Alligator mississippiensis: one gene and its partner. The protein of the gene in region 2 purifies or fractionates together with the protein of the main gene of each other region. This does not show direct contact. Links are inferred from orthologs where the notes say so. Each region holds a gene or a part of one and is shown on either strand. Other genes may lie near its edges. The genes, in order: cytochrome c oxidase subunit 4 isoform 1, mitochondrial; cytochrome c oxidase assembly factor 3 homolog, mitochondrial.

Evidence for each region.
Region 1: the proteins of cytochrome c oxidase assembly factor 3 homolog, mitochondrial (region 2) and cytochrome c oxidase subunit 4 isoform 1, mitochondrial purify together in Homo sapiens (affinity purification with western blotting; 3 studies listed by BioGRID and IntAct, with this or other methods). This does not show direct contact. The link is inferred for Alligator mississippiensis from reciprocal best matches to the Homo sapiens genes COA3 and COX4I1.

The regions. Positions count from the first base shown.
Region 1 is NC_081833.1:73,661,407-73,674,624, reverse strand, and holds the start of cytochrome c oxidase subunit 4 isoform 1, mitochondrial, read left to right. Parts: upstream 1-8,176; 5' UTR 8,177-8,281; exon of another isoform or gene 8,282-8,298; intron 8,299-9,893; 5' UTR 9,894-9,894; coding exon 9,895-9,973; intron 9,974-11,099; coding exon 11,100-11,264; intron 11,265-12,776; coding exon 12,777-12,908; intron 12,909-13,218. Other genes in the region: EMC8 (ER membrane protein complex subunit 8), read right to left, coding at 2,655-2,731, 7,794-8,000. UniProt on the Homo sapiens protein: Component of the cytochrome c oxidase, the last enzyme in the mitochondrial electron transport chain which drives oxidative phosphorylation.
Region 2 is NC_081827.1:152,236,284-152,248,068, forward strand, and holds cytochrome c oxidase assembly factor 3 homolog, mitochondrial, read right to left. Parts: upstream 6,813-11,785; 5' UTR 6,732-6,812; coding exon 6,730-6,731; intron 6,599-6,729; coding exon 6,285-6,598; intron 6,211-6,284; coding exon 6,107-6,210; 3' UTR 5,592-6,106; downstream 1-5,591. Other genes in the region: cytochrome c oxidase assembly factor 3 homolog, mitochondrial, read right to left, coding at 1,306-1,406, 1,494-1,692; CNTD1 (cyclin N-terminal domain-containing protein 1), read left to right, coding at 7,843-8,013, 8,906-9,068, 9,730-9,874, 10,713-10,809, 11,410-11,532. UniProt on the Homo sapiens protein: Core component of the MITRAC (mitochondrial translation regulation assembly intermediate of cytochrome c oxidase complex) complex, that regulates cytochrome c oxidase assembly.

The DNA of each region.
Region 1 (13,218 bases), on a different chromosome or scaffold from region 2:
TCACTGTATGATGAGAGTGTCATTTTAATAACTGAATCCAGAAATATAAGTGAATAGATGCACGGTATTTTTCTAATAAATCTAACCTGCTTAACAATTCTCTTGGAAATTATGTACTTCTCATAAGCTCACAGAAGTCTTTAGCAGATTTAAGAAAGCAGCAATGACCCTTAAACTTTAAATAGGAGGGAAACTTCTCTTTCAGACGCTCTCTTGCACCAGATTACTGCTGCTTACAACAGCCCTATTCATACTTCCTCTGCAACTCTAGGGCTCAGTCGCACAGAACAGGTTGTTTGAGAATAGAAAGCAGAAGACAGGTTCACTTTAATGGGATAAAGCAGGGGAATTCAATCTTGTAGTTTTGCGCTACCTGCATGGAGAGCTTTACATTGCGAAGTCCCAAATCTCTCTCGCTCCCTACGGTGCTGGCTGCTCTATTTTCCCCATGTCACTTCGCAATTTAGTTCTATCTTACCATACTTGTTACTCTGTCAGGGCTGGCGCAGAACATTAGATCACGGCTGAGCTGATCCACAAAGATAAAGCTGTGCAGTGTGCAGACAAGTGTGTGTACTTCAGTGTTGCTAGCCCAAAATGCATCTGGAAGTCTGACAGCAGCCCAGATTGCGCTATCACAGTAACAACACACCGTAGCTTGGAAACTGGCAGGTGCATCATCACCTGAGAAAAAATCAGCTCTTCAGACCACCTGGAAGTGCTGCACAGTAATATATGCACGCAGATTGCTCAGATGGATGAAATATGGTAATATTCACCACATTCAATCTTCATTATAGTTTTCGAATCTTTACAAGAATTTACCCATTTGCGAAAAAAGGACTTATTGCTAATACTGATAGAACAATGGTAGCACAAAAAAGCTGCAAAGGAGATCAAAGCCTCCACTGTGCTAGTCAGTGTGTGTGCTCATAGGGGAACAAGTCTGATGAAAGTCTCTTATGCAACTCATCTTATACCCTGCCACTCTTCTGACACTGTGTAAGTTAATGGGAACCGTTCCATAGGCTCGAGTCCAACAAGACACAGAGCTCAAGAACAAGTAGTACTAATGAAACAAAGTATTTCGGAATTAAATCTCCCTCATGTTTCTGCTATAGGACTTAACAGAGTCCAAATAGAAGCTGCATGAACTTAAAACATTAGCTATCAAACAGTAAGCCCATTCAAAAACTCTTGTGATCTGCCCAAAGATCATGAGTGTTTTCAGTTGTCAATAAGTCTTGAGGCTGAAAGATATTTTGGGCCAAGACGGCTTGACTATTTTCGAATGCTTCAAACAGGATGTTATCATTTAAATAGAGCAGATAAATACTTTCATTTGAATCTTAATATTGGGCAGCCTTAATTTATAGCTAGAAAAATACCTGGATGTATAAGCCTGAAAGCTTACAATGTTGTACCAGAGGAAGGTTCTCTTTTTGATTATATAATGAGCTGAATTCAAAGGGAAAGTTTAGCATACACCTGTTTGTGGATCAGGCTGCAGTTGCACATGCATTTGAGTATAATTTTGAAGATTTTTCACCCCAAATACTATTTTGTTGAACCAGAAAGTCTAAACAACTGCACTGAACTACTTCAGTGACACACAGCAAACAGTAAAGCTATTCTGTCACTCCTGTGCTTTGAAAATCTTGCAAAAAGGACTACAGATAAAATTACCCTGTTTTCCAGCTTTGTATCAGTGCAGCTATATCAGCATAAAGCCAGGTATTAGATGCAATGCCCTGGTATAAGATAGGATTTTCCCTGTTAAATATATGATTCAAACTCCTTTTGGCACAAGCTTTTGCCTGCAGTAGGGGTTTTCCACCAATGTGACTGTACATTAGTACAGTGATATGGATACAAACTTCCCTGGACTGGAAAAACCCTAAGCATGATCTTTAGTTGTAAAATATTTAGGGCACAATTTGTTCTTCAAGTAGGACTGACATGTGACAAAACTGTCTGAGTGAGTACACCTAGGGTAAAAATTTCAGGCTGACTGCAGACTTGATGTAGAGGAGCCCAACTCTAATTTTCAAAACCACCTAAATCATGCTGACCTCCAAGGGAACTTATACTCCTGAATGATTTATGGGCTTCTGAAAGTTTTCCCCCTTGCCAATAAGGACCATTCATCAGGCATGTGATGAGTAAGGAGTCTGGTTACCGCTCTATGTATGTGCTATTCTATTACAAGGCAGCTCCATAACTAAGTAACTAAGAGCTTCAATGAAACTCAGAAGCAATTAAGGATTAAATCACTTCAGATATAGTTCCCAAAGGATTCAGAGATTCATGAATTAGGAGTTCACAAGATATTAGGTAGGCAAGTGAATACGCTTGTGAATTCCAGTTATTTCCCCAATATCTGCCAATTAAATTGGTTGGCAAGCTTTCAAATACCTGGCAATTCAATAATAACCATCAGAGAGGAGTAATTCTGGAAAGATAGGGGTTTCCTCAAACTGCACAAAAGACCTTTCACAGATATCCAGCAGTATGCAGGAAATAAGGTGCAACCACATGACAGTTGTCAAAGTTAATCAACATTCACAGATTTTTTTATGTGCAATGATTTTTGTTGGCAGAGTACAAAGTGCAGCACAAAAGAGTAAACAGAAGGAGATATTGTACCAACACACCTGGCATCTTTCACACGTTCGTTAGCTTGGTAATATCCAGCTATCACGTAACTATTCTCTTTGCACCAAGAATCAATCTGAAAAAGTAATTAAAACAATTGAGCTCAGGAAAACATGACAAAACACGTAAATTATATATCTTTCCTGAGAATAAACTGGCAACTGAAGTGTTGTAATGTGTCAGCTAGCGGCTGCTGAATTTAACCCAGTACTAATATTCTTAACCACGTCAAGGAACAAAAAGTAAGTTAGAGGGAAAGAGATGGAAAATATGAGCCAAACAAGAGAAAGTAGACATTTGAATTATAAGCATTCAGCTGTGCTTTAGCAACAGGATTTGATAGGAAGAGCTTGAGTATATCAACTGACACATATTTTTAAGTCTTTCCTATTACTATTTCTGGCTTTTTTTTTTAAGCAAGTAGTTGGTGATGGAAGGTTGGGCAATGTACAGGATGTGGATGAGGGGCAATGGCACCATTTCAAAAGCCACTTTTACAGATTCTACTCAACTTGCTGGGGAAAAAACCCCAAATCAGATAGTGTTACCATGTATACGCTGTTTATTTTTTTTAAAAGCAACTGATCCCTCATATGAAAATGAAAGATATGGCAAAGAAAAATTCTATCCCTTGCGTCATTCTTTCAACCCACCCTTGTGACTAGGGGTGCTCTGCTTGTATTAGAACGGGATTCTTTTTCCCTTAAGAGTTGATCAGTGAAGATAATCTACCATTGGAACAACTTTAAAGGCGCGTGGGTGGATTTTCTATCACTTGAAGTCTTTAAATCAAGATGGAATGTTTTTCTGAAAATATATTCTTGCTCTACCACAAGGTATAGGCTTGATGACAGGATTACTGGGTTAGATTCTCTGGTCCCTGTTGTGCAGGAGGTCAGGGTAGATGATGTTAAGGCCAAAAGGGAAAAAGACTTCACCCTGTACAAACATCAAGAAGTCTACAACAGCTGATATTGTGTTTTTAAACATAAAGGAACACATTAAAATGACTTGTAAAACAGGAAAGAATCAGTGAAAGACAATAGGTTATATTGACTCTGCATCTGGTCCATAATTTCATTGTTGCTTTGAAACTATACAGTGACCATTTTTCTTGCTCACAATTAAAGAGCATCAGGTCAGGATAACCTGGGGATTTGAGAAAGAGAGAGACCAGCTAGTTTGTCCCCCACCGATATGGCTATGCAATTTAAAAACTCAAAATTGATTTGATTTACAGGATGCCAAAATTTGGTATCAAGTATATTTTGGAATCCATTTTAATCAATCTCTCACACATTTAGCAAAATAATGACAGTATTAAACTCTCTAAGCAGAAGGAAGCCACATGAATAATCCCTCATCTGCAATCTGACACAGATTGGCATTTTAATAAAATATCATCCTTTAGCATTGCTACACAATCAAGGTCCAACCACTGTTTCAATTTTAAACCCCCCTTCAAAGGTTTATGACTGCAGCTTTAATTGCTAGTGGGCTGAAACCTTGGCACAAAAGCCAATAGCCCAGACACATTTTATCAAAGAGCCTGTCAAAAAAGTTTTAAAATAAGGTTGGCTGCTCTTGAAACTGATTCCTTTTAATAGTAGACTTGTTTTCAGGGAAAAGGAACTAACCTTTAGTATTTAACAGTAGTCTGGCTGTGTTCACAATGGCTGCTTTTAAGAAACATCAGGTTGCTATAACAGTACCAATGCTAGCCCTTAGCATCAACAAGACCCTGATATTTTATCGCATTACTGTCTAATCCCGATTGGAGCGGGTCAACATAAGACAAGATAAGACCTAGCACTTATGTAGTGCTTGTCGAGCAGAAATGTCAAGTGCTTACAAAGGGGAAAAAAGTAAATAGCCAGCAGAGGCCAGAGAGAAAATCAGCAGGGAGGATAAATTAGAGGAGCTAAGGGCCAGGCACTGCTAAAGCCCCATCCATAATAATGCCATTCAAGGAAGATTTCATAAGACTTGTGAGTTGAGATGAGCAGACAGGCAGTTTCACAACTGTTCTTTTGAACAGACAGCATCTAGACATCAGCAGGGAGTGAGGTTTTTCCTTTGCTTTGTTTTAAAGAAAACAAATAAAAAACCTCTTTAAAAAAAGGAAAATGTGGTTGTAAAACCACTCCGGTTAACCAGGGGACTCAAAGCCAGGTACAGCCTCCAAACTTATCGTGACTCAACTTTTCTCAAATGATAAGATTTCACTCTGATAAACACAATGCATACCTATTTCCCTCAATCATTTTCAGAACTACTGTACTTAATGACAGAAATGATTGCTGGCTTCCCTCATGAGCACACTGTAGCCAAAGCACCATCCAAAAACTAACATCTCTTTGAACCCAGTCTTGACAGGCCACAAGCACTCAGTGGATGCTGAAGATGCTCGAGTACTTTGCAGGACTCTTCCAATACTCTTTATGGCCTTTTTAAAAAAAAAGATATAAATAGAATGGTAAAGATCTGAACTGAGAAGTGATAACTGTCAATACCCCCTCATTGGTTTTCAAGGAATTTTTATCTTTGTTGGAAGAAAAAAGCCATAACATGCTTTTTTACAGCTGCAGTTTCTGAAAGGGCCACTGGCCAGCGTAATGCATTCCTTCTCCCATGCTGATTTGAAGATGATTGAAGAGGTTGCTTCAACTGCCATCTGAAAAACAGGATTTTGGGGGAGGGCTCTTTCAAACACTAATTTTTAGCGTTCAAAAATGACCATATGGCCAAGTCCTGCACTGAAAAGATCCCCCACCTCCCCCTTGACTAACAAGTATAGAATGATGTCTGGAGATTACTAATTTCATCTAACGCTCATATATAAATCAAAACAGTTTGAGCTGAAAACCATCACTCACAAACGGCCCAATTCACTTTCAGAACAACCGACACGAGCAAAAGTTTAAGGTAACAGTCCCTAGAAAAACTCAATCCTCTAAAGCTGGCCAATGCTTCAAGACCCTTTAACTATCTAAGTGTTTCTGGCTTAGGATAATAGCTTAACTGCATGCATTGCACCGACTTGCTCGTTTAAGCTGGCTTTCTAACTTGGGGCATTTTGCACTCATATTACTACACTGTATGTAAACTGACAAGACAGCCTCTATTTTAAAAGCCAAAACAATGCAGTTGAGCTCTATGAGCGGCTATATAAATATTTACAGCCATCCTTAGCCTTTGCACAAACAAAAAAAGCTTTGTGCTCTTCTTGATGTCTCAACATTGCCAAGGATTATAATTTGCAACCCATATAGATGAGCTTTATAATTAGGACTTGCAGAAACTGATTAACTGTGAAGGGAGAAAAAAAAAAAATCAAATCAAATCAGGATTCCCCCCCCCACCTTTTTTTCCTTTTAAAAATCAATTACTTCGGAACAAATAAAAAGCTTTGAGGAGTCAGCAATGTGAGGACCATAAAGTTTTATTAGCTCTCTGACAATTTCATACTTCTATTTTTCAGCTGTGTAAGAAACCAGATCCATGGAGTAGGACCCAATCCTGCAATAAGCTGTACAAAGGATCAATATGGATCTTTAAAATACTTTCCACGACACGGGCAATTTCCCCTCATAATATAATTACTGACCCATTCTCCTGCATCCTCATTTCAGCCAACTTTCCAAGTACTAAAATACACAGCAAAAGTGCTTGGTACAGCAGTCTCCTAGCACGTTGCGTGCTCGTAGCGTTGGAGTTTGAGTTTTGAACGTGGTTACTCTGGTTCTGGAGCTTAGGCTTAGAAAGGCTTGGCAATGCCCGTCTTGCTCTCGCAGCACCCACTATGGTTAATCACTGGCTTCATAAGCTGATCTGCATACTCCACGTTGCAGGATCGGGGTCTAAGAAACCAAGGCCCCCAACCTGAATAATTTACTGTTAACACTAGAAAAAAAACAAGCCTAAGGAAGACCTTTTCAAACCCAAACGCTTGTCTACGTCCCTCTCAACTACACTGCAGATCCAATAAAAGAAGTCATCCATCCTGCAAAAAGTCTTGCCTCTCACACAAGTGTCTTTGCAATGTTTGCAGTCATTTAAAAAAACAAAGATATCACCATTTTTCACTAGGACCACACTGCTCAAACTCGATCGCTTGCAATTAAGCAGCTAACACCTCGCTCTGCGTGCAACCTGCTCCGAGGGTACAGCCCCGTACACCTCCACAGACGCCCAACTCACAGACCCATCCTCCTGGCTCGGGCAAAAATGTATGTACGTATCTAGGCATCCACATGTGACAGCTGAGCCGCTTCCTGAGCGCTGCCAGAGGTATTACGTGTAAAGAAAGCACAGAGGATTTATCGTTTTTGATGACTGGTATAATTCCCATTTTTCATACGGTGAAAACTCCCGGGCCTATCGGTCACGAAACCGTAGCTCGGCCCGTTCGGGCACGAGCCAGTTTGACGGGGAAGGCTTGCATCGACGTACCGCGAGGTTTGGAAAGTCGCAATTTCAGGTCGTTTAAAGTAAAGGATGAGAAACTCCTGCCAAAACGGTCAGCGTTGGCATGCGTCTGCTTGAACCGACTTTAACGGTGGGGTTTGAAGGCTCGAAGGGACCGTGCCGGCGATCTCATCCGACCTCCTCTACGCCACGGACACCGTAACCGTTACGTCCAGTGCCTCCCGCGCCTCGTCTGGCTTCGGTCTGCGCGCGACGGCCTATCTTCCAAAGCCATCTTGATTTAAAGACGTTACGAACGCACCCAGCACACGCCGAAAAAATACTAACGAAGAAATTTCAACTTTTAAGACCATTAATTTTTTTTTTTTTTTTACTATTCATCTGCAGCCGGATACGTACCTATTTCAGAAGCAGTTAAATCACTGCCTGATTACATGGATGAAAATGCAATGACTCCGATATGATCCAGTAACGTGCCAGTACATAACATGGAGTTAGCTAATTCAGATTAAAGATACTTAAAATTTTTTTTTTTTTTTTGGGGGGGGGGTTGTTGCGGTTTTTTGTTTTTTTTAAAAGAAGTCTGGCACCCCCGTTATGGCGCCGTATTCCCTCCTTTACAGCGCCTTATCCCCCGTTACAGCGCATTAGCCCCTTTTTACAGCGTCGTACTCCCCCTCCTTTTACAGCGCCGAATCCCCCCCCCTTACCAGGCTGAGCGCCACCTCGAGCATGGGCGCGAGGGCCAGGGTGCCGTGGAAGAGCGGGACGCAGTCCACGAAGAGCGTGGGGGGCGCCGAGTCCTTGCGCGCCGGCGGCGGCAGCTTCTCGGCCACGAGCAGCCCGTTGACGGCGCAGTGCGGGTACTTGGCGCCGTGCAGCACCATCTTGCAGTAGGCCTGCGTCGTCAGCTTCATCGTACCCCGCGCGGGCCCCACCGGGCCCGGCTCCCTCAGCACCGCCGTCGCGAAACGGCCGTCAAGCAGCGCCGGGGGACGGCGCGCGGCGAGGGACAAAAAGGGCCCCGCCCCCTCCTGCCGGCCGTAAAGGGCCGCCGGCGGCTGGCGACGGGACGCGCAGAGGGACAAACACAGTCCGTTCTGCAGCGTGCGGCCCTACCCGCATCCCGGCGTGCTTTGCGTTTCCGCCGCGCCTGTGTCTCTTCCGTTCTCGACCGCAGGCCTGGAGGACAGGCCAGGTCGTTGGCAGCGGCGGGTGCGCGGGGTCGGGGCCGGGGCTGTTGCTAAAGGGAATGCGTTACGTGGTGTCGGGGGAGGAGGGGCTGTTGCTAAGGGCACGTTGCGAGGGGCGGTTGCCGAAGGAACACGTTGCACGGTGATGGGAGGGGGCTGTTCCTTCTTAAGGCGTTGTTGCTAAGGGAGCACAGTGCATGGTAACGGTGGGGAGGGGGCTGTTGCTAAGGGAACATGTTGCACGGGGAGGGGGCTGTTGCTAAGGGAACATGTTGCATGGTGGGGAGGGGGCTGTTGCTAAGGGACCACGCTGCATGAAGGGGGCTGTTGCTAAGGGCATGTTGCTAAGGGAACAGTTTCCGTGGTGATGGGAGGGGGCTGTTGCCAAGGGGATGCATTGCATGATGACATGGGGGGAGGCGCTGTTCCTAGGGGCCATTGCTAAGCAAATGGGTTGCATGATAATGGGAGGAGGGTAGGCGGCTGTTCCTAAGGGGTTGTTGCCAAGGGACCATGTTGCCTGGTGACGTGGGGGGCAGCAGGGGGCTGTTTCCAGGCATCACCTTGCGAAAAAGCTATTGCTACGGGGCTGTGTTGCAGGGCGATGTGGGGTAGGGGGCTGCTGCTAAGGGGCAGTTGCTATGGGGATGTGTTGTATGGTGATGGGTAGGGAGCTGTTGCTAAGGGAACGCATTGCATGGTGATGGGGGGGGGCCCCCAGTGCCTGCCCGCTTCCCCTTCCCCTGCAGCTTCCTGGTTCCCTGCAGCTGGGGGAGGGGACCCAGGCGCTGTGTTTAAAGGACAGGGCAGGGCAGGGCAGCTGGTATGGAGCAGAGCCCCTTCGTTGGGGTGGTTTTGCATCCAGCAGGATGAAAGGGGTGCGGTGACCAGCTCTATCTGTAAAATCCCTGCAAGGATATAATGGGTTCAGGCAGAGAATTGAGGCCTCCTCGGTCCTTCCAGCAGGCTGTGTCTGGCAGGTCAGGCGGGAGCGGAGGTGCTGTTGTGGCGTCACCAAGAGACGCTTGCTTTCTGGTCCCTGGTGCAGTCCCCTTGCAAGGTCAGGTGTTCCCTGCCAGGCCTTGAAGCGCGCACACAGTGTTTTTAGGCCTGATGTTACCTTTTCAGACGCCGCTACCTCCTTTCTACATTTTCTATAAATATAAGGTGCTTGTGAGAACTTGTGGCTGAGCTCAGGGTTAATCCACTGAAGCGCTGGCGACCCGCTTCCCTTGACAGCACCTCGGACTAGGCTCTGCGCAGGGGCCAGTGGAAAAGCCTGAATAAGGAGTCCAAGATTTTTGAAAAAGGATTGATTTGTTGCAGTGTTTTTCCTTACGCTTTCTCCACACTTTTTGTGGGTGCAGAAATTTTTTGGGGGGGCATATGCATACCCACCTCCTGGCCCACACACTGAGCGGCTGGAGTCTGGGAGTGGGAGGGGGGCAGCTGTTTGGGAGTGAGGGGCTGCGGGGCTGCAGGTCAAGAGCGAGGCCTTGAGTCCAAAAAGGTTGGGAATGCTGTTCTAATGCATAGGGTGTAGATTTCCTCCATTTATATGTATGAATCTGCCATCTTTGGCTGGTAACTATCTGCTTTTTTTTCCCTCTCCCATAGGATGTTGGCTTCTAGGGCATTTAGTTTAGTTGGCAAGCGAGCCATTTCTACATCCATCTGCATGAGAGGACATGGACAAGGTATGCTGTGTGCTTTTCCTGTTGCACAGAGATAGGAAAAGAGAAAACCTTCAGTTATTTCTATGTCCCCTTATCCTGAGCTTTAAATTTTGACAAATGCAAGCGCCTATCAAATCCAGGTTAATCACTGGTAGAAGTAAGGAGGAGTAGAAAGCTGGCTGACATGTTGTAACAAGACTTTGCTTAGAAAGAACATCCATTTTTTTTTTTTTTTAATGACTACTACATTGTTCAGTAAAATTGTGGTCTGCCCCTTTTCACATTTCTCAAGAGCAAAGCAACATAAAGCTTCCTTAAGACTTAAGTGCACACTGAAATTATAATTACTCTGAGCGTGCACCTTTATTTCCTTTTAATAGCAACTTCTATAGGGCCAAACGTGCTGCATTCAGTGCAGTTATTCTAGCAATACACTCTGTCAGGGATCAGGCCTTTTTTTGGGTGTGTGGCTAGCTGAAGAAATAACATGCTAACGTAGGTTGAACATTTGTGACTTTCTGTGTTTGAAGATGGAGGAATATTAGATGGATATCTAGCAAAAACTACCTGGAGGGGGTGGAAGCAAGACAACAGAAGCAGAACCGAGGAATGGTGAAACACAAGTGCCTGGGTGATTGAAAGCATGTTATTAATCTGTGCCATCACCAGTAGGTGGTGTCAGAGAACAGCATTAGCACTTCAGGGATCCTGGAATTGCAAGATCCAGAGAGAGGGGATTGGAAGAAATTGTAAAGGAAAACATAAATACTTAAAGGAAGATCTACTATTTGAAATGTCAGGGAGAATAGTACTTAGTGGGAGGTGTGCTAATTGAAGCTGGGACACCCTCTGCCAAACTTTGTATTTCAGAATGTTTTAAAATCCTTCTCTTCTTTGCTGTATGATTGATGCACATAAGGTAACCTGGATATAGAGCAAATGTAATCTTCTTGGTTACTGTTATTTCCCCCTCGTTGCTGTTGAAGATAACTTGTCTAGAAGCACACTTCCCTTAAGACTTCTTGACATCCGCTTTATTTGTGGGGAATCTTAATATTGTTGCTGATAGAACTTCAATTTTTTTGGCTCTAGTATGTCAAATAAAAATTCTGAGTTTCCCTTTCTTTCTTCCCACCCTTTATTGCAGCTGTTGTGGGCATGGAGGACGCCAGCCTCCCGTCTTATGTGGATCGTCGTAACATTCCCCTGCCTGATGCGCGATACACGAAGACTCTCTCTGTTGAGCAGAAGGCCCTGAAGGAAAAGGAAAAGGCATCATGGAACGCCTTGACCATTGATGAGAAAGTTGCACGTAGGTATTTCATTTTTGAAAGCCAATCGACCCTCCTGCTGCCAGTCTGATCTCTTACGCATTCACTGTTGATGGAAATGCTCCTGGGAAAGGACAAAGCATACAGTAAGGGTCTAAGGCTAATCCTGTAAATGGATTTTTGTGGGTTGAAAGTCTTGAGGCAGTGCAGAGATACTTGTGGGGGTTAATCGACTGAAGCCGATAGGAAAGAGTGCAGTATCAGCAGTTGGCTAAAGCACTAAACACCTGGACATCTTTGAGGTTTTAGAGCAGTTAGAAGTGCTGACTTAGAAGCAGAGACAAGGGTCATGCAAAGCAACTTTGAAACAGCCTCAAGCTGCTGAGTGCCTGGCTGTTTCAGCCAATAGCTTTTCTTAAGAGCCCTGTTTTCAGAGGTCTTTCTCTTAAGCTGGACTGGTGTGTAGGCCATATCCTGTGCTCATGAGCAGCAAGCATGGCTGGTTTACTCTGCCTTCCTTGGAAATATCTTGTGTGGTAGATCTTTAGATCTCCTGTCTTTCCCTCTTTCTACTTCACCCCTATTTTGCAGCCACCATCTGTGTCTAAGTCCTTCAGTTGGATGGTTCAGACAAAGCCCCTTACATCCTGTAGATGAAGTTGCTGGCTGAAGGAGGGGGAAACTGGAAAGTGAACCTAGGTTTCAAACTTGGCTTAACACTTTGCACCTTCTGACTCCTTATCTAACCCAGCTTTTCTGACATTGCATGGTGCTATGTTCTGTGGTGAGCCAACTGCCAGAAGTTCAAGAAGGTCTTGTACCTTGCTACTTTGAACAATGGCTGATCATATTAATTGCACAGAACTGTAATAAAGTAAGAAACTAACCTAAACATTGCCCTAAGTTTGGTTAAAGTGATGGGAGAGATGAAAGTCTGTTGGTGCAGGTATTAAGTGAGGGCTTTTCAGTACAGGATTGGCACAGAGAATGCTAGTGTCTTTATTAAAATGACTCTAGATGCATGTAGTTGGCCTGCAAGCCATGATGTTCTGTCTCTTCGAAGCATCTCTTAAATGCAAGAAACATTTGATCTGCCCCCGCCACCCCCAGTAACTTTAAAAAAAAGCTATGAGGCTTGACTCAGACCAGAACGGAAATAGCTTTCTTAAAAGCCTTAAGAAACTTAAAAGCGGGGATAAGACCCAGATACCCTGACTCGCTTAGCTGTAAAACCATTCCTGTTCAAACAAATCTGGTGGGTGAATCCGTCAGACTCTTTGCAAGACTTCCAGCAAAAGATCTTTCTTGCTAGTGCATTGGTTTCTCCATCTACAGAGTGGGCAGTGCAGTTCAACAGCATGTATTAACCTTTGTGAAATACCTTAGTCTTTCTGCATGAAAGATGCAGCTTAATTGCAAAGTTGTTATAACATCCTTGTGCTTTAGAACTGGCCTTACAAATCTCTCATCCCTGCAAAGGGGAGACCCATCTGAATGTCTGCAGTGTTTGCACCCTGGAGTATAAAGAGAACATCTTGAAACTTTCTTTTCAGTGTATCATATCAAATTCAATCAGACTTATGCTGAAATGAACAAGGGAACAAAGGAGTGGAAGACTGTAGTTGGTGCCACTGCCGCCTTCCTTGGCTTCTGCGGCTTGTTCCTCGTGTGGGAGAAAATGTACGGTAAGTAAATGGCTTGGAAGAATCACCTTACTACTTTTAAATCCTTCCCATCCCAAAGCTTCTGTGCACTTCAGACAAAAAATAAAATAAGAAAACTTGGAAACTGCCAAAACTCTAGTCTTGCATTACACTGCTGTACTGATAACTACTACTGTTTGTCGTCAAGTGATGATTCACAAAATCCTGAGCCTTTTTGAGCTTTACAGTTGCAGATAAATGACTTAATCAGTGGGGGACTACAACTGCAGAAAGATGTAATTTAGGAAACTGTCTTGCAGCCATCCCACTGCTCTACTTCTCTGCTGCAAAA
Region 2 (11,785 bases):
TGTGTTCTAGTATCAGGCAAACCTTCTGCCTTGCACCATGGGCTGCCTGAGGCTCTGCCCTATGCTGAAGACAATGTCTGCTGTTCCAGAGCCAGGGGTGGCTAGCCCTAGGCTACCATGCAGCTCCCCACCTGTTCTAGCTGAGCTGTGAGAGATGCTGCTGCCATGTGAAGTTCTGCCTCTGCCCTGGTAGAAAACAGAACAGACTAATGATGTAAAAACCTCCCTGTACAGTGGTTGTGAATAAAGTAGAGCAAACAAAGGGGCAGCTGTCTTTTATTGCTCTGAGACCGCACAACTCCAGCAGCAGAGCAAGAGTGGCCACAGGGGCATCCGAAAGCAAACTGTCCTTCCTTCTGGAAAAATACATTCCTGTTCTCCCCCTTTCCTGCCAAAGATGGATGAAAGACAAATGTCAGCTTGTGTTGCCTGGTTTGTGCATGGGATGGAGGAGAGAAAAGGAGTAGGACAAGGACAGCTCTGTGCCACTAACTAGTATCCACATGTCCAGCCAGCCCTTGGTGTGCATGTTGGATTCAGTGAGATGATAAAAACGAATGATTGAAATGGGAATTTTCCCTCTCTAACAACATAAACCTCTTAGGGAAGTAGGTTGCTGAAAATGTCCCCACAGATGCTGCTCCCCCCCCCCAGCTGGACGCCTGCCAACAGCTGCTTTAATGAACTACAAGGACCTGCAATCCTTTCACAGAAGCATTTATTACAGATACAGAAGGCAGTGGTATGTGCCAGCACCTGGCTTAGGTCTCCTCTTGCCAGCATTTCCCCTGGGCAGAGGCCAATGTGGACAAGAGCTCCTTAGCAACCTCTCTCTGCAGGGAAGGGGTGCTCACACTGGCTTTTCCCCACAGTGCAACAGGGTCACTTCTGCTGGCCAAGCCCCTTCCCCTATACAAGTGGATCAGGATTGGGCTGGTCATCCCCACCCCATCCTGGGCTAGGTGAAGCCCCAACTAAGCCCCTTTCCCTACAAAGGTGGGCTGCCCCCAGTCCCCCTGCGCAGCAGCATGGAGCCCCACCACCATGCCCACCCCGGGCTGTGTGTGGGGACCACCGGGCAGATGTGGCTCAGCAAGAGACCAGGAAGTGCGCCAGGGAAAAGGGCTGGTGCCCCAGTCCAACCTACCCAGTGACCCTCTCAGTCCTGGCGCACAGAGGCGAGGGTGCACAGCGGTGCCACTGGCAGGGGTGAAGAGGGCTGGCGAGGCACTGCCAGGCCCCTGCCACCACTGCCCCCCACAATGCAGTCCTGGGAGACTCCGGCTCAGTGCGCTGCGGGCCGGGTCAGCTGGTCGCGCTCTTGGCCTCCCGGTCCGCCCCCGCCGCCGCCTCCTCCCTGTCGCCGAAGAACCACTCCTGGGACACCGAGTGGAAAACGTAGCCGTCTGTGCGTCCGCTCAGGAAAACACCGACACCGCCCCTGGCCCGCCCCCACCCCGGCCCCGGTCCCGGCCCCGGTCCCGGCAGGATACAGAAGCCGAGCGCGAGGGCGCCGAGGACGGTCACCACCACCGCCTTGCGGCCCCCGGACCGGCGCTTCAGGACGCGCTGCGCTTCCTCCAGGTGCTCCGCAAGGTGGCGCTGCCCGGCGCTGAGCTCCGGGTCCCACGCGGGGTCGATCTGCGCCTTCGCCGCCACCAACTCCTTGCGCGACTGCTTCGGCACGGCCATGCTCCGCGCCCGCTCCCTCCGCCTCGTGAGTGCGATGAACGGGTCAGCAACGTCACATCCGCGCGGGGCGCTGCCGCTGCCATCTTTGATAAAGGCCGAGAGTGACCGCCCCCTGGCCCTCGAACCCGCCTCCCAGGCCTGGCCAATCACGGGGCTTCACGTGCGGCAGAACGTTTCGAGGCGGGAGCTAGGGTGGGGGGCGACTGTCTGGGGGGGCTGCTCCGGCCGCGCTTGTCAGGGGCGGGGCGGCGTGTGGGGGGCGGCCCCTGCCCTGCTCTGAGCGCGGGGGGCGCCGCTCCCCGCTCCCCTCCCGCGGAGAGTCCAAGTGCCCTGCTCTCCGCATCCCAGCGTTGTCCGATTCTATAACTCCTGGAAGTCATGTGTCAAGGGTCAGGTCTGCATTGTGCTGGTCACTGAGCTCATGACATCTGGCACCCTGAAAACGTGAGTATTTTAAGGTTGGGGGAAAGGTAATAGGGGGGGAAAGGGATGTGGGGAGAGGGAGTCTTAGGTTTTATGGTGATGGATAGGTGGGGACATATAGTGTATGTCAGGGTGAGGAAATGTACAGCATGGGGCAGTGGGCAAGCAGGGAGTGTGTGTGTGTGTGTGTGTGTGTGTGTGTCTTCCCAGCAACCTGGGCCATGCTGCAGGCGCATGGAGCGAGGCCCAGCACAAAGCAGGACATGTTTCCAGCCATCTCTGCCAGAATCTGTCCAGGCCCACTGTGTGCTGGGCAGAGTCTGCCATCCCCTTGGGCTGGCATGGCTGCAGTTGAGCGTGGGAAGAGGCCCTGGAGCTGGTGGACAGTGCAACAAAACGCTGCTGCTGGGTGCTCAGTAACTGGGTTTGGCCCCATGTGCCCAGGTCTGCAGCCCCAGGGTGTGGCACTTTCCGCTTGACCAGCAGCTGGTGGTGTTGCCTGTACAATGTCACTTCCTCATGCTGCATCTCTGGCCACTTGCTGTGGCTGGGCTCCCCACACTGGTGTCTTGGCCTGCTCCTGGCGCTTTTGGAGCTTGGCTCCTGCTTTTTGCAGCCTGTGGCAGGAGAACGTTCTTCATGCAGGCTGGGGCAACTGGGTACCGAAATGGGCTCCTCACAGGTTCTGGTCACTTGGGTGACTCCCAGTCAAGAGGGCAGTGACGCGTTTGGGCCATACAGGCATGTGGGAGGTGGGCCTGGCAATACCATCAGGGTGTCTCCAAGCCCAGCCCCAGGCCACCTCCCTGCATGTGCAGCCCATCTGGAGTGCCCACTGCTCACAGCTGTTTCTCTTGTCCCTTGCAGCTACCTGAAGCTCAGTGGACTGGGTGTACTGGGGAATTTCCAGGCTTGTTTGGGCAGCAGTGAGAGTGCAGGGATGAGCAGGGCTGTGGGGGGAGCTTATTGATGGGGCAGGCTTGCTTAGGGCCAGTCTCTTGCCCAGGACTGTCAGGCTTCACCAGCTCCTTGAGTCCATCACTTCACAAGTTATGTAAAATGCTAAAAATAACTGTCAAGGTTGGGAGGATGTGTGCCTCAGCTGGCAGCAGTGTGGAGTCTGGCCAGCCCTGGCACCTGCCTTTCTCTGTACAGCCCTGTCCTTGGAAAGCTGCTCCCCTACACAGAGGCAGGCAGCAGGGGCCTGCCAGGCAGCACAAGGGATCTGCAGCAGCTTGGGCTCTGGCTCTGTTACACATGCAGCCTTTGCCAGCTGATGTGCCCTTCCTCTGTAGTGAGCCCCCTGGGGCAGCTGGGCACCCCTATACTCAGAGTGGCCCTATCCTTAGCACAGTCTCTGCTGCCCCGAGCCCCTGACGCTGGTGTGCACTGCCCTGTGCTGGATGGCCTTGCTTCCAAGAGGTCCCTCCTGCCCCAGGGGCTGTGCCAGGAACAGTTGTGCATTTTCAGGTACTTGGGCTGAGACTGTTACATCTGTCCCCTTGGCTTGCTTTGGTTGCCTGTGCCTGAGAGGTGGGGCTAGTGGAGAGGATTGCTCTTGGGGGTGCATCTAGCCTCTGCTTTCTCCAGGCTGCCCTGTCCTGGCCTTGCAGGTGGTCTGCACTACCTGGAGGCCTCTGCTGTTCCTGGGTAAGGCTGCTTTCCCTTCCCATTGCAATGCTGTCACTGCAGCCCCTGCTCTGCTCCTGGCTGCCATCCACTGCCCACCAGCTGTTCCTCAGCATGTCTAGTGGGCATTGTGCATGGGCAGCAGCTGCAGGCGTGCTTGTGGAACAGAGCTAGGGAGCCAGATCCAGCCGCTCCCGTCTGGCTCTGTGCCCTCAGCTCCTCAGTCACTGAGCTGGCTGGATCCAGTGCAGGGCTGGTTTGTTCCATGATTGCTGACCTGGGAGATGGAAGCCACAAGGCTCAGGAATTTAAATTACCCCCATGTGTGCAAACATGTGGGGTGCAGGGAGGTGAAAGAGGCCCTCACTGCTGGTGGGTGGAAGCTGTCCTGGCGTTGAGCAGTTCTGCTGAGCTCAGTCGTTGCTGGGGGGGTGAAAGGCTCTGTCTCTCCAGGTTGTGAAGGGCAAGGGCATGTCCAAAGGCGAGTGATTGGGTAAGGAAGGTGTTTCCTCTAAGACCCTCCCAGTGGAGCTGTTTCCATGCTCAGCTTGTAGCCCTGTAGGTTGAGGCCCCAGAGTCCTGGAGGGAACATGTCCCTTGCCCATACACCAGTCTGGGAGAGCCCTGTACCACTAAGCAATCCTTTGAGCTGTGGGTGGCCCTTGCAGGAAGGGACCTGCTGGACTTAGGGTGACTGCTCTTCCACAGGGCCTGAAACCCAACAGCTTCTATAAAGTGAAAGTGCCAGAGCTGAAGGAGATCATCGAGGGCTGCATCCGCATGAATGAGAAGTGAGCACATGGGGCTGCTGTACAGGCCCTTGGCAGCCTGGACCATGGGTCCTTGAGACAGATAAGGGGTGGCTGGGGGTTTGGGCTCTGCCTCAGCCCCAGCCCTGCTGTGGGTCTGTATAGTGCCTGGCCTCTTGGTGCTGCTGCACCAAGTCCTGGCTGAGCCACATACCTGCGAGGTCAATCCATCCTTGTTCAGCCTCAGAAGCCTGAGCCAAAGCTCTAGGCATGTGATCAACCACCTTACAGCCCCCCAGTCCTGCCCCTTCTCTGCACAGTCCCTCCCCTTGTTCAGACTGCAGGAGCTACAGGGAACTAGGGGAAGCCTGGCTCTGAAGGGAGTGGGGGAGGGCACACCAGAAAGGGAAAAGTATGCAACAGGGCAGTGGCCCAACTCCACATATGTAGCAGCAGTCTCTGGAGGGCCTCATACCTTGTTTCAGAGCACCTCCTTGTGGTGATCGCTGCAAAGAGGTCAGCTCCCTCCAGCCTTTCCCACTGCATTTCATTTCCTCCCTCACCCCACCCTTCTCACTTCAGTTGCAGCAAGTGTGACTCAGTCTCTGAGGGACTCCTCAGGCACATTCTGCCCCAGGCCATGTTTGCAGAAGACAGGGCTGGGGCTATGGAAATGTGTGTGCCAACATCCCTCCCCTTCATGGCAGCTCTTGCCTCTGCTTTGCTCCCAGCCCCAAGAGTCCACAGGTTGTGTGTGGATGGATGCTTTTGTCTCCTGGGGTGCCCTTGACCCAGAGCTGTAAGCCAGCAGAAAAAGCCCAAGTGCACTTATGCCTCTGTGTGTTCTAGTATCAGGCAAACCTTCTGCCTTGCACCATGGGCTGCCTGAGGCTCTGCCCTATGCTGAAGACAATGTCTGCTGTTCCAGAGCCAGGGGTGGCTAGCCCTAGGCTACCATGCAGCTCCCCACCTGTTCTAGCTGAGCTGTGAGAGATGCTGCTGCCATGTGAAGTTCTGCCTCTGCCCTGGTAGAAAACAGAACAGACTGATGATGTAAAAACCTCCCTGTACAGTGGTTGTGAATAAAGTAGAGCGAACAAAGGGGCAGCAGTCTTTTATTGCTCAAAGACCGCACAACTCCAGCAGCAGAGCAAGAGTGGCCACAGGGGCATCCGAAAGCAAACTGTCCTTCCTTCTGGAAAAATACATTCCTGTTCTCCCCCTTTCCTGCCAAAGATGGATGAAAGACAAATGTCAGCTTCTGTTGCCTGGTTTGTGCATGGGCTGGAGGAGAGAGAAGGAGTAGGACAAGGACAGCTCTGTGCCACTAACTAGTATCCACACGTCCAGCCAGCCTTTGGTGCGCATGTTGGATTCAGTGAGATGATAAAAATGAATGACTGACCTGTGAATTTTCCCTCTAACAACATAAACCTCTTAGGGAAGTAGGTTGCTGAAACTGTCCCCACAAATACCCCCCAGGTACCACCGCAGGTGAATGGCCATAAGGGAAATCCCTGCCTGCTGCCCAAGTGGCCTGGGGGGACGGGCCGCTCGCTCCGGGTCAGTGCGCCGCGGGGGGGGGGGCGGCGCACGGGCCGTCACGAGCCGGGTCAGCTGGTCGCGCTCTTGGCCGCCCGGGCGCGGGCCGCCACCGCCTCCTCCTCCAGGTCGTCGAGGAACCGCTCCTGGGACACCGAGTAGAAGGTGTAGGCGTCTGCACGCCCGCTCAGGAAAACGCCAGCACCGCCCCGGGCCCCCCGGCCCCGCACCCCCGCCCCTGAAGGATACAGATGCCAAGCGTGATGGAGCCGATGCCGAGCGCCAGCAGCGCGTTGCGGCCGCGGAGCCGGCGCTGCATGGCGCGCTGCTGCTGCGCGTACTCCAGGCTTTGGATGATGCGGCGCTGCTCGACGCTGAGGTCCGGGTCCCGCGCGGGGTCGATCCGCTTCGACACCACCTCCTCGCGCGGACCCGGCGGCGTCTCCATGCTGCGCACCCGCTTCTTCCGCCGCGGAAGTGGGGCGCGCGGGCGGGCGGCCGGAAACGTCACATCCGCACGGGACCGGCGTGACGTCACCCGTGCCGGGCGTCGTCCCCACCACCTTTGATAAGGGCAGAAAGGGACTGACCAGACTCTCAAACCTCGCTCCCAGGCCTGGCCAATCTCCACATGCAGCAGAACGTCTCGAGGCGGGAGAGAGGGAGGAAGGCGCCCCGCGATTGGGGGACTCACATCACGTGACCAGGAGAAGCGCCGAGACTGGGGGTGGACTGTGGCAGCCCTGCGAGCTGTGGGGATGGCCCAGGCCGGCCCCGCCCGACCTCCGTGCGCCTTCGGGCGGCTGCCGGGCCCGGCTTTCGGCGTGGCCGCTCCGGAGCTGCTGGAGGCGACGCTGCTGCGCCTAGCGGCCGACAACGAGCGTCGCCTGCGCGAGCTGCCGGCGGCGGCGGGGTGCTTCCGTGGGCCGCGCTCCACGGGTCAGCAACGGCTCCGCGCGCCCCGCCCCGGCCGGGGCACTGCTTTGGCCGCGCTCCTGCGGAGCGGCCCCTCCCCTCCCCTGAGCGCGGAGGGCGCCGCTCCTCTCCCGCGGGGTCTCCTAGTGCCCTTCTCTCCGCAGAACTGATCTTCCTCCTAGCGGAGAAATGGCGCCTGGACCCCCCAGCCCGCTACCAGGCGGCGGAGATATTCGACAGGTACCGCCGCGCGCGGGGGGCGGGCCCGCCTCGCCCCGCCCCCGTTGAAGCCCTCCGGAGCTTGATTCTGCGCGTGAAGAACACGGCGGTCCTCGGCACCTCCCGGCGTTGTTGCCCGAGCGTTGGAAGATTGTCTTAAGCTTTCTCCCCCTGCCCGCCGACCCCCACTGTGGTTAGGGAAAGCCCTACTTGCTCTCTGCTTCCCCTATACAGCAGCTCTGGCCCTGGTGTGGGTCCCCCGCAGCTGAAATCACAGGCACTCCCCTGCCCTCATCTGGGCTGAGCCAGGGTGGTTTCTGTGGCAGGGGAGGGTGTGTAGGAGCAGGGGGAGGCCACTGGTGTCTTTCCCCCTACCACCCAATCCATTCCCCACTCCTTGTCAGGCAGCAAGAGCCCCAGCCTGGAGCCCTCCCCCATACTGAAGGGGGCATGGAGGGGAAGGAAATCTGCCTTGGGTTCCAGTAAATAGGGTATACTCCTCATTTTGCAATGCTCAGCTGCAGGCTGTAGAATATTTTTCTCTCTGCCTTTTAACCGTCTCTGTACCTGTGATTTCTAGTTGTAGAGTGTTCTTAATCCACACACAAACAGTTTTTCTTTCCATTAGCAAGAGGTAGTTGCTTCCTGAGAGCTGGGCTTTTCTTGCAGGTTTATGATTAAGCAGGTACAAGAGATGTATAATTCCACTGAAGAGTCAGGGGAAAGCGGTGAACAAGGACGGAGCCACGGCTGGAATTTTTTGAAAGCACAGATGCACAACATGTTTATGCTGCGCCTTGTGTCTTGCATCCAGCTTGCAAGCAAACTTTCCTTCCACTACAGTGTAAGCAGACCAAACACTTCCTCGTTGCAGCTTTCAGCAGTATAGGATAGCATTTGTCATTTAGATTTGAGTTTCTCTTATCTCCAGGTCACGGAACTTATTACGGTTTTCAAAGACAGCAGTGACCTATGAATTAAGAACAGCTTGGGTGTAGGAGATCTAGATCTCCATCCATTTTAAGAAAAGGAATTTTTACTCAGAAAATACCCCTGTACCTTCGCAACAAACTGGGGAAAAGAATCAACAACCCACAGTGTTACTGCTCAGAGTCCCGTCACTTGTGTCATCTAGTTGCTAATAACAGCACAAAATCCAGTATTGTGGTGGGTGACATAAGGTACTGCTGTGACTCACAGTTTACCTAAGTTCTTTTTCTTAGCGTACAAGCCCCATTCACTCTTTGGAGTGATATTGAATCGCTGTTAACTTCGTGACTTTTAGAGATCCTGTAACAAGTTTCTCTGCTTTAATTTGGCTAGTGTTAGTTCTTTGGCTGCTTTTTGAGAAGTGAGCTGAGATTTCATAGAGGCACATTTATTCTACAACAGGTGTATATAATGCAAATAAAATAAGATCTACTAAGAAGATACCTAGAATCAGAATCGCTGATTTCGCATCCAGTAGGACACCAACCTCTATGAATCTCAGTATCTGGTACTGCCTGGCAGGGGAGCAGTAATATGGCAAAACTTATCCAACTTGGTTTCCTCTTCTAGCTTAGAGGACACATTAGACATAAAAGCTAGTGGCAGGCATAACTGAAACAGGAAATATTATCAGCAAGTCATGTTAATAATTAAAGCATGGGTTTTGAGAAAACACATCTCACTGCTGGAAGGGGGGGTTACGTTTTAAAAATAACACAAAATAAGCTTGACTTTTTTTCTTCCAGATAGTTAACAATAACACAGTTCTGAAATTTCTGCAGTCTTTAGACTATTCATTCACTAAACAAGAATTGCTGGAGTCAGAACTTGCCATTTTGAAGGGTCTACACTTCCAGATCAATTTGCCAACTCCTTTGGCCTATGTTGAGTTGCTCCTGGAAGTCTTGGGTAAGGGCATGAACAGCAGGAAACAATTGTGTAGAAACCAAAAGGCTAAAAAGTAGAAAATACGGAAACAGTGAATCTGAAGGAGTGTCAGATTAATCTTTTGTAGAGGTAAAATCCATATATGAAGTGACAGTGGAAAAAAAAAAAAGATTGTCCTTGTGGGCAAGCCATCATTACTAATGGGGAAAAAAACCTAAAGATTTGATGCATTCTCCCTATTTAGTACCATTTCCTAGGGTAAATCTGAGGTTTTGTTCTACCTTTCAAAATAAGAAATCTGCTTGAGTCATCTGCCACACATGATAAAATAAGCTTTACCCTGTTGTACAAATCAAGGAATCCAGCATTTCTGCTTCGCAAGATATAGTTGGCTCCTAGACTCATTTGGCAAAACACTAATAAAAACTTAATAGATTTACTCCCTGCCCCCCCCTGCTATATGAGGTCATACTTTTTCCAAAGTGAGTTGTGTTGTTCAATGAATGCCTTAGAGGACCTGAGTAAAATCACATTCTCTTATGGAGCATCAAGTTAAGGCTTTCAGGATATGGCAGTCACTGCTGAAAAGCTTAGGCACCAATTCTAATGCTTCTAATATTTTTCCTAATTTGGTATGGGCCACAAAATAGATACAGCTGACCCTCTAAAATCTTTACCTTAGGACATAATGGCTGCTTACTGTCTTTAAAACAATTGCATGAAATGTGTGTGCATCTGCTGGATTTAACTTACCTCATGCGCGATGTTATCTACAATACATTGCTAAAGACTTCTATTGAAAATTCGACGCCAAATGAACTCCAGATGTAAGTATACATGTCTTAAGGACATGTTTGAACTAATACCAGTGTTTTGTGTATTTAGAGAAAAAAGGCTGGTGAAGGACACAAACTTGCATCTCTAACTTACATTTGCTGCAGTTTGACAGCACAGTAACAGAAGTACTTTGTAAACCAAAATGAGTTGGTTACTTGCAATACCAGTTAATAGGGCATTTTTTATGCGCTAAGAATATGAGACAAGTTTCTTGATTTAAGTAAATTTGAAATGCTGAGAACAGTCTCTGTACAAGACTTCCTTTTCATAGAAAATAGCATTTGGAGGTAGTCTGTTCCAATTCTGCACTGACTGTTTGTCATGCTGGATAAATCAGAGTACCTTCCTCCCTATTGATACATCTCTAGAAGAATGAGTATTTATCTAATTTCCCAGACATAAATTAATTAGTATTTGCAAAAGGAGAGTTTAGAAGATAAATTACTATGACAATGTCAATACTAGTTAGCACAAAGTGTGGTGTATTAATAGTAGTTGGTTCTGGATAGAACTAGTTTCACTCAACATTTCCACATATTTTAGCAACATTGCTATGGAAGGAGACTGGGAGAATGTTCCTTAACTCATGCTTCTTGTCTTTTCTTTAAGAAAACTGGTACATAAACTGAACTTTTAAGTTGAAGCTATTAATACCAGCATGAGGTGACCTTAAAGGGGAGGGCTGTACCTAGATGTTATTAGAACGTTACTTGTGTTTACTGAGTCCCACATATACAAAATCAAATATTAAACATGACTGTAGTTGAAATACAGAACCCGCCTCATTTTAAACCACACATCACTGGTTTGGTTTTTGTTTTTGTACAGAGCAAAGTTTTTGTCAGTAAAAGAAGATTTTATGCTCTTGGCAGCTGGAATTATTGGAACAAGTGCTTTCATACTAAACCCTGAACACTGGAATCAGGTAGAGTCACTGCAGTTAGAAGCCTTAGGAGAATGAAAAAATTCTACCATTTAGACAGTGCAAAGAGAAATTATTTTGAGGGGAGAAACATTTCAATTTAAGATTAACAAGAAAAAAAATCAGGGATAGGACCAGGTAGAAATTATCAGGAAGGCAGAAGCTTCAATTATCTCCAGTTTGCAAAAGAAACTGCCCCTTCCCCCACCCCAATTTCTTTCCAAAATAAAGCTTACAACTTTCTTACACCTGTAACAAATCTATGATTGTCAATAGCAGCATCTTCATATGGAAGTAACCTCTCTAGCACACCAGATTTCTGCCAAACTAGCTACAGGATACTTGTCAGCTTAGAATCAAGGTATCTGTTTTTAAGACTAACAAAGGCCTGTTCTAATAATCTCCAGTAGAATGAACTAAGTGTGAAAACTCAATTCTCTTTTCTCCCACTGAAAGGTTCTTCATTTGGTCCACTGCAAAGGGTTACTTAGCTGTATCGTGGTGGCATGACAATTATCATTTGTTTCTTTCCCTTTAAAAGTATTCACAGTTTAAACTTCAAAATGAAAAAGTATTTGAAGTAGGGGTTTATTTTTTTTAAAGGTTGTGGAGCATTTGAACTGTATCACTGGCATTACCTCACAAAGCGTTTTTGAATTTTTATATGCAATACTAAAGCACAGTCTTGGCACTACACCCACTGGAACCAATGCAAGGATGGAATGATGTTTTCAGTACTACACTACTTAACGGTAAACATGGATTTATTTGGTTTTTTTTCAACAGCGTTCTCAAAGCCAGCATGTTACTGGAAAGGATCCATCCTTTATCATACCAAACAAGGAACTTTAACTCCTTTCTGATGAGCTATAGTAGTTGTATAACAGCCTCTGCAGACTATCCCCTACCTCTCTTATGGAGAGAGCATAGCAGTGTCATTTGGGACAAAAAAAAGGGTTTTCTTTTTCTTAAAGAAAAA